2 linked regions of the Arabidopsis thaliana genome follow. The protein of the gene in region 1 interacts with the protein of each later gene in a pairwise test. Each region holds a gene or a part of one and is shown in the gene's direction. Other genes may lie near its edges. The genes, in order: RACK1C_AT and MKK4.

The links.
Region 2: the proteins of RACK1C_AT (region 1) and MKK4 come close enough for resonance energy transfer, tested with the Arabidopsis thaliana proteins (one study listed by BioGRID).

The regions. Positions count from the first base shown.
Region 1 is NC_003074.8:6,210,353-6,214,527, reverse strand, and holds RACK1C_AT (receptor for activated C kinase 1C), read left to right. Parts: upstream 1-1,976; 5' UTR 1,977-2,156; coding exon 2,157-3,035; intron 3,036-3,317; coding exon 3,318-3,419; 3' UTR 3,420-3,650; downstream 3,651-4,175. Other genes in the region: LST8-1 (Transducin/WD40 repeat-like superfamily protein), read left to right, coding at 1-68, 153-254, 342-454, 609-678, 853-930, 1,001-1,117, 1,217-1,299, 1,380-1,459 and 2 more; AT3G18120 (F-box associated ubiquitination effector family protein), read left to right, coding at 3,956-4,175. UniProt on the Arabidopsis thaliana protein: Minor component of the RACK1 regulatory proteins that play a role in multiple signal transduction pathways. Involved in multiple hormone responses and developmental processes.
Region 2 is NC_003070.9:19,152,180-19,156,922, forward strand, and holds MKK4 (mitogen-activated protein kinase kinase 4), read left to right. Parts: upstream 1-2,143; 5' UTR 2,144-2,395; coding exon 2,396-3,496; 3' UTR 3,497-4,159; downstream 4,160-4,743. Other genes in the region: AT1G51650 (ATP synthase epsilon chain), read left to right, coding at 501-684, 1,434-1,462.

The DNA.
Region 1 (4,175 bases):
ATCACACCATCCGATTCTGGGAAGCCGAAACTGGTCGCTGTTACCGTACCATTCAGTATCCTGATTCGGTTTGTTTCTCTCTCTCTCTCCCTTGATTTTGTGAATTCTGAGTAATTAATAAAACTGAGACAAATTAATGTTTGTAATTGCAGCATGTAAATAGGCTTGAGATAACCCCAGATAAGCATTATCTAGCTGCAGCTTGCAATCCTCATATTCGACTCTTTGATGTCAATTCCAATAGTCCTCAACCTGTAAAACTCCTCTCTTTTTTTCTCAATGTGGTGTTTGCTTCCTTCTACCTGCTTGAGTGATCTTGATGGAGTCGTCGTGTGTATTAGGTGATGACTTACGATTCACACACCAACAATGTTATGGCAGTAGGATTTCAATGTGATGCAAAATGGATGTATTCAGGATCAGAAGATGGCACAGTTAAGATCTGGGACTTAAGGTATATCATGTCATCTTCATCTTTAGCTAAAAGTTTATAGATTTATTCAAGTGTGGATTCTGGGAAAGGATAAGGAGATATTGAATATAAAGTTACGAAAAATACTAAGAACGTTCTAAATTGTATTCTTGTTGACTCGTAAACCAAAATGCAGGGCTCCGGGTTGCCAAAAGGAGTATGAAAGTGTTGCAGCGGTTAATACAGTTGTTTTACACCCAAATCAGGTACATGAAGTCATCTGTTATTGTTGTGCTGTGGGAATCAGCTTCGTTTTATGTTTAAGAGAGTTGTTGTATTGCTACTGTTGAAACTGCTGTGATTTTGGTAGTTGTCTCAGCTGTTATTATGAACTATTTCCTTAGTCTTTATTATGAACTTTGTTTTTTTTTTTTGTACAGACTGAATTGATATCTGGAGACCAAAATGGAAATATACGTGTATGGGATCTCAGAGCAAATTCGTGTAGCTGTGAACTGGTAATTGCCTTTGACACGTCTTCATTTCATTTCTGAAAATCCGTAGATAATCACTTGAGGTTAACTATAGGTACCAGAAGTTGATACAGCTGTACGGTCTTTAACTGTTATGTGGGATGGGACAATGGTAGTCGCTGCTAACAACCGTGGAACATGTTATGTATGGCGCTTGTTGCGTGGAAAACAGGTAGTGTTCCTGATATGCAAACCTTTCTTTTGTTTAACCATGTTGTAGTCGCATTACTCTAATTGTCCATGCCATTTAAAAATTCAAAATCTTTTACAGACAATGACAGAGTTTGAGCCCCTTCATAAGCTGCAAGCTCATAATGGCCACATCCTTAAATGTCTCCTCTCTCCTGCAAACAAGTAACATGTTTCTTATACTTTCTCTTTTAACCGTTTTCTTCATCCTCTCCTTTTCGAAGCTCTTACATATTTGTTAGCAGATATCTAGCGACTGCATCATCTGATAAAACTGTCAAAATATGGAACGTCGATGGTTTTAAACTAGAGAAAGTTTTAACAGGTATGTTCTCCATGTTACTGTCAACAGCATTCATTCTCCATTATCGTCTCTTACACTATCATCAAATCTTATATAACAGGACATCAAAGATGGGTTTGGGACTGCGTCTTCTCAGTGGATGGAGAATTTCTTGTAACAGGTACTAATCTCTGTCTTAACTTAAACCACTGAAAAACATATCAGAACAATCTTTAAACGGGTTTCTATGATGTTGTACAGCATCATCGGACATGACGGCTAGATTGTGGTCGATGCCAGCAGGCAAAGAAGTGAAAGTGTACCAAGGTCATCACAAAGCCACTGTGTGCTGTGCACTTCACGATTAAAACCTTAATAAGAATCAAAGCTAAATTATGAACAAACTACGATTGTGTTATTTGTGTTTTAGTAAACTCTTGTACATTTCAATCGAATTCGTTCAAATTGCTCTTATGTTCCCTCTCTGATCAAACATTTCTCAACTATATCACAACAAAAATGCTCCAACAAAATTTATTTCAGAAGAGGCCCATTTATACCTGACTCGGAAACTCCGGCCCAAATGAGCCAGTCTCCTCGCAGAAACCACACTAAACCCTAATTTGATTCATTTTTAGACCTAGAGTATAAATACCAAACATTTCAATCGACCTCGTAATCTCTCGCTCTGTTACGCCATTTTCGTGAGTAAGAAGAAGAAACCCGAAAACCTCAAACCATGGCCGAGGGACTCGTATTGAAGGGCATTATGCGCGCCCACACCGACATTGTCACGGCCATCGCTACGCCGATCGACAATTCCGACATCATCGTCACAGCGTCGCGTGACAAATCCATCATCCTCTGGAAACTCACAAAGGACGATAAGTCTTACGGTGTTGCTCAGCGTAGGCTCACAGGTCACTCTCACTTCGTGGAAGATGTTGTTCTCTCATCGGACGGTCAGTTTGCACTCTCCGGAAGCTGGGACGGTGAGCTCCGTCTCTGGGATCTTGCCACGGGAGAAACAACTCGTCGATTCGTTGGTCATACGAAAGATGTGCTCTCTGTTGCATTCTCTACTGATAACCGGCAGATCGTGTCTGCTTCTCGTGATCGTACGATTAAGCTTTGGAACACACTTGGTGAGTGTAAGTATACCATCTCTGAAGGTGATGGTCACAAGGAATGGGTTAGTTGTGTTAGGTTTAGTCCTAATACTCTTGTACCAACTATTGTATCTGCTTCTTGGGATAAAACTGTGAAAGTTTGGAATCTCCAGAACTGTAAGCTGAGGAACTCTCTTGTTGGTCACTCTGGTTACCTCAACACTGTTGCTGTCTCGCCTGATGGTTCGCTATGCGCCAGTGGTGGGAAAGATGGTGTTATCTTGTTGTGGGATTTGGCTGAAGGAAAGAAGCTTTACTCGCTTGAGGCGGGTTCGATTATTCACTCGCTTTGCTTCAGTCCTAACAGATACTGGTTGTGTGCTGCTACTGAGAATAGCATTAGGATTTGGGATCTTGAGAGCAAGTCTGTTGTTGAGGACTTGAAGGTTGATCTCAAGTCTGAGGCAGAGAAGAATGAAGGTGGTGTTGGAACTGGTAACCAGAAGAAGGTACGTCATTATCTTATGATTTCACTATAGTAATTGGTTCTCTATTGATAGGTTAGTGAATGCACCAAAAGTAGTGATGAAATTATCTTTGGTTATGACAAAAAAAAAGTGAAATTTTGGTTAGAAATTGCATGTAGGAAATCTTTTCCCTTACCCATTAGCTTTGAAACTAGGAATTTTATTCTTTAAATGTTGCTCTGCTCCAAAGGTTTTGACTTTGATGTTAACATATAGGAAGAGATTGATAATGGTATCTAATGGGAATGTGTAATGAAAATGCAGGTTATCTACTGCACAAGCTTGAACTGGAGTGCAGATGGAAGCACATTGTTCAGTGGTTACACTGATGGAGTTGTCAGGGTCTGGGGTATTGGTCGTTACTAGAGACACAACAAGATGAAGAAGAAGTCACGAAATCTCCGGAAAAAAGTTTAGCTGCTTTTAATTTTTCCAGACTGCGTCAGTATTGTATTAGTCTCTCGCAAACCTCTATTTTGGCAATTTTTGTTTAATTTCCAGAAGAGAAAAAAACAATCCATTGATTATCATATCACTATATATCAAAAGGTCACGATTTTGATTACACTTACCTTCGTGATCTTCCGATTGGTCTTATTGAGGTTCAATCTTCACAATTCATCCCTATAATATATCACTCTTATCTCTTTCACCGGCCACATTACAAGCCTATTAGATTTCTAAAGCCCATGATTGGCCCAATTCAGTTAGGGTGGGTTTCTTTGTCTTCAAATTTGTAACCACCGGAAGCAGAGGAGAGTATCTTCTGAAGCATTAACCTAACTTATTTATGATCCTTGAGATGATGATGGCCAATCTTCCAAGGGATTTAGTGAACCTTGTTACGGATACGTACAGTATGAACTCTACTACCTCAAGTCCTCAACTCCTCTAAACCACGGATGAATATTACTATCCCTAACATTAACTCTGCGAACTGGGAGATACAGTTTTCTGCACGTGGCGTGTCTCTCAAGGGAAATACTCAACAAAAGCATCTCCCTGAGTTCTTACTCTGTTATGATTTTACAAGAGAGATATTTGGACCCCCTCTAAGTCTACCGTTTCACTCTTTTAATGAAGATACTGTGACTCTATCTAGTGTTAGAGATGAGCAACTTA
Region 2 (4,743 bases), on another chromosome or scaffold:
AAAAACTACAAAACGAAACAAAACAAAGAAAAGCAGACATTTACACGAAATTATGCAGACATATACACGAAATTCAATCTACCTGAAAATGAGAATAAGTTTTGAGTAAATTTCGTGGAGACTCCTGGAAATAAGTTTGTTTGTTTTCCTATTTTTATGTAACTTCGCTTAAATTTCTAATTGCCTAATCAAGGTATTAAAATAGCAAAGCTTGGTTTGGCTCAGTCTTCGCGTAAACTCCAAGAAACAATCATAAAAACAAATAAAAAAGACAAGAAACCAAAAAAAAAAAAAAAGTTGAGAGATTTCAGTAGATGAAAGTTGGATAGAAGATTCGTGTAGTTAGCTACTTAATGGGCCGTTAAAATATTTAATAAGGCCCATTGGGTCTAAACTGTGTTAGGATTACTAGGGCACAGAATCGGTCTCTGTCCCATTTCGCGAACTTTCTCCTTAGAATCGGAACGGACGAAGAAGGAAGACAAGGAAGAAGATCGGAGATGGCATCGAATGCGGCGGTTCCGTTCTGGAGAGCGGCGGGGATGACATATATATCGTATTCAAACATCTGTGCGAATATCGTGAGGAACTGTCTCAAGGAGCCACACAAAGCTGAAGCTCTTACTCGCGAGAAGGTTCACTTCTCTCTCTCCAAATGGGCTGATGGAAAGCCCCAGAAACCTGGTAAGCCTTTTCGATCCTTTAATCGTCGATGTTGGATCTTAGATCTGGATTCTTCACGTTCTTGTGTTCTCGATTCCTGATTTGTTTTTGAGTAATTTGTTGGAATAATCTGATTTCCTAAAAGTTATCGGAATTAAGTGGAAAGTGAATCATCTGCTTCTGGATTTGATCTTCGATTTTGCATTTAACCTTTCCTCTGCTTCTGGATTTGATCAGTTCAATACTATCTTCATACAATGTTGTTATGTCCAAATTGTTGAATTTTTCATTTAGAGTTAGCTTCAGAGAAAACAACAAAACTAGTAGTATGTGTGAAACAAGAACATGAAGAAGATGGAAAGCTGATTGGGAACATTGCATTTAGATGTCTTTTCTCGTTTATGTTTGGATCTGAATTCTTCATGTTCTTGTTGTGTGTCATTGAAATTGTTGGAATACGTAGATATCAGAGTAGGTCATTTTGGGAAAGCTATTGAATTTAAGAGGAAGATGAATCATTTTAACAAGCTCCATCGATTTTGCGCTTAATCTGTCTCTCTTCTGCTTCTGGATTTGATTAATTTCATTCTATTTTGTTTTCTCATAAGTTGTTGTTATGTTCAAATTGTTGAATTTGGAATGATTTCATTTCTCAAATAGGGTTTACTGAGACAATGATTCCAGATTTAGTCTATCTGAAAATGGTTCAGCTTTCTTCTTGTTGATCCATTTGTCTAACATTCTCTCATGTTTTTGTTTTTCCTTGACAGTTTTGCGGTCAGACACACCTGAAGTTTGAAGTCAACTTTGAGCTTATGTTCTTAAGGGATTCAAAAGTAACTGAGTTACCAAGATTTGTTTTCTTTTTATTGTCAACAATGGAGCTTGAGTGAAAAACTCATTTCCGATCATAATAATGACACACTGAGTCTTGTGTATCTCTTTTCTTCTTTTGCTATTCTGTTTCACTTTTTGTATGCGAACAATGAAAAAAAGCCTTTAAAGACTCTTCTGGCTAAAGACAAGTTCTTTTGATTGTTACAGAACAGTGAGAATAGCATAAAACTAAGCACATACGTGGAGAATCAATACACTGTCAGAAGTTGAGAGAAGACCATACTTAATATTAAACATGAGAATATACAAACTGATTTTCTGAATCATGTATTTTGAATCGCAGTACGCATATTTGCAGGTTAGACCATCTCCAATGTCACTTTTACGCGTTTGTTTGATTTAAATTCGATTTCCTCTTCTTGGTTTATATCACAAAACCAACAAAACGACACCGCGTAAAGTCTGAAAAAAACTTAACAGAGCCAGAAGTGCCCAGTGAACCAACCACACAAAGTCACAAATGGTTTCCGTGCTTGAAAGTGATCCTCACGCGCTTTACACATCGCGTAGATACCTTTTTCTCGATTTTAACAATTTTGCTATTTATTTCCTTTTAATTAATTTTCTCAAAATAAAAATTAACGTTCCCTTTTCAGTGTCCTTTCAATTTCTTTCGACGAAACTTCATTTCTCAATTTCTTTTGATTTTGATCGCTTCGAAGAACGAATCAATTTAAGCCTGCCACAAACAAACCCTAGAATACGACAACGCACGACGACGAAGAAGTCGAAGAAGACTACTACTATAAACGACGAAGATCATTACTTCAATCTTCAATCGAGCTTTTAAATTTTCAGATCGTAGAAGAAAATCGAACTTTTGATTCCAAAAGCGATGAGACCGATTCAATCGCCTCCAGGAGTTTCCGTTCCGGTGAAAAGCCGTCCCCGTCGCCGTCCTGATCTTACCTTACCGCTTCCTCAACGCGATGTTTCTCTCGCTGTACCTCTTCCTCTCCCACCTACTTCCGGTGGTTCCGGTGGCTCTAGTGGATCTGCGCCGTCTTCTGGTGGTTCGGCGTCTTCAACGAACACTAACAGCTCCATAGAAGCGAAGAACTATTCGGATTTAGTGAGAGGTAACCGTATCGGAAGCGGAGCAGGTGGAACGGTATACAAAGTGATTCACCGTCCGAGTTCTCGTCTATATGCACTTAAGGTGATATACGGTAACCACGAGGAGACTGTGAGACGTCAGATCTGTAGAGAGATCGAGATTTTACGAGATGTGAATCATCCAAACGTTGTGAAATGTCACGAGATGTTTGATCAGAACGGTGAGATCCAGGTTTTGCTTGAGTTTATGGATAAAGGTTCTTTAGAAGGTGCTCATGTGTGGAAAGAGCAACAATTAGCTGATCTATCTCGTCAGATTCTTAGTGGTTTAGCTTATCTCCATAGCCGTCACATAGTTCATCGTGATATCAAACCATCGAATCTTTTGATAAACTCTGCTAAAAACGTTAAGATTGCTGATTTTGGAGTTAGTAGGATCTTGGCTCAGACTATGGATCCGTGTAATTCATCTGTTGGAACCATTGCTTATATGAGTCCTGAGAGGATTAACACTGATTTGAATCAGGGAAAGTATGATGGTTATGCTGGAGATATTTGGAGCTTAGGTGTTAGCATTTTGGAGTTTTACTTGGGGAGGTTTCCTTTCCCTGTGAGTAGACAAGGTGATTGGGCTAGTCTTATGTGTGCCATTTGTATGTCTCAGCCTCCAGAAGCTCCAGCGACTGCGTCGCCGGAGTTTCGGCATTTTATCTCGTGTTGCTTGCAGAGAGAACCGGGGAAAAGGAGGAGTGCTATGCAGCTATTGCAGCATCCTTTCATATTAAGAGCAAGTCCGAGCCAGAACAGGTCTCCTCAGAATCTACATCAACTCTTGCCTCCTCCTCGTCCTCTGTCCTCGTCTTCTTCTCCAACCACATAGCGTTTTCTCTCTTCTTCCCTTCATCAACTCATATTTTTTGTGTTACTACTGTTCTTGAGTCTGTTGTCCAATTTTTTGCTAATCATGGAGGGTCTCTGAATTTTACATTTATTAGGGAGTAAAAAACTCGAGAGAGGGTTTTTGGGATTATTGTTTTCTAGAAAGGTAAAAGAGAACAATGATAATATTCTTATGCTTATGATGGTGCATGTATCCCCAATGTAGCTTTGTTGAATTTTCATAAAAGTTTTTGCCTTGGTTTTTCTTTTGTCATTTATGCTCGTCAATTTTGCATCTTGAAGACGAAAAGGACCGTTTCGTTTCCATTCTCGGTGTTTAGTTTTGTCATTGATAAAATGTCTCCTTGTAAAGCTTATTACCATCATGAAAAAGCAAAATATACGGATCGTAGAATCGTTTCTCAAACCTAATCAGGTTGATGTCCCAGTTTAGAACATCCTTGGAAGAGTTTAAGACAATTCCTCAATCCGAGAGAGCAAAACGACTGTGTTTAGCAAAGTGGGTCTAATTGAAGAAAAGAGGAACTTGGGCCAGCTAAAGATAAAGCCCAATGTTGAAAAGACGTCGTCTAAGGCACAACAACGGTCAAACGGTCATCTCCAAAGTTGGAAAACGACAAGAAACAAAAACACAGAGCAGTGGTGATGAATTGAAAGCTTGTACGGAGAAAGTAGCGATTCTCGCAGCCATTGATACGATTTGATGACAGAGGATGGTGACATCTGTCCTATCTCTAGGGTTTTTCGAGTCACCCATACTCTTGTCTATAAATACTAAATCCTTTAGGTTCCTTTGGTTGCTTCCTCTGCTTGTGAGTTTTTCTTTGTAAGTGCAATCAGTGTTACTCTTTAGAGTTTTTTTCTAAGTTGTTGAGATTTTTGTAGCTTGCTTTGGTTTGTCACAATTTTTGCTTATGCATTTGCCTTTGTAGGAGCTTTTAGTTACGTTTTAGGGTTTTTTTTTTTTGTTACGGATTTTGCTTGCTTGTGCATTTCCTTTTTCAGTGTGATTAGTGAGTAGTTACGTTTTAGCGTTTGATCCTTCTTTATTTTTGTCATTCTTTGGTAAAGAAGCATCACACTGGCTCGATTTAACCACAAACTCCTTCCTCTGTTTTTTGTCATTGATAAAAATGTCATCTTTTTACTATTTCAGTGTGATTAGTGAACAATGAGGAGCTTTTGGTTAGGTTGTTAGCGTTTAAACTTCATTTAGTTTGGTCACAT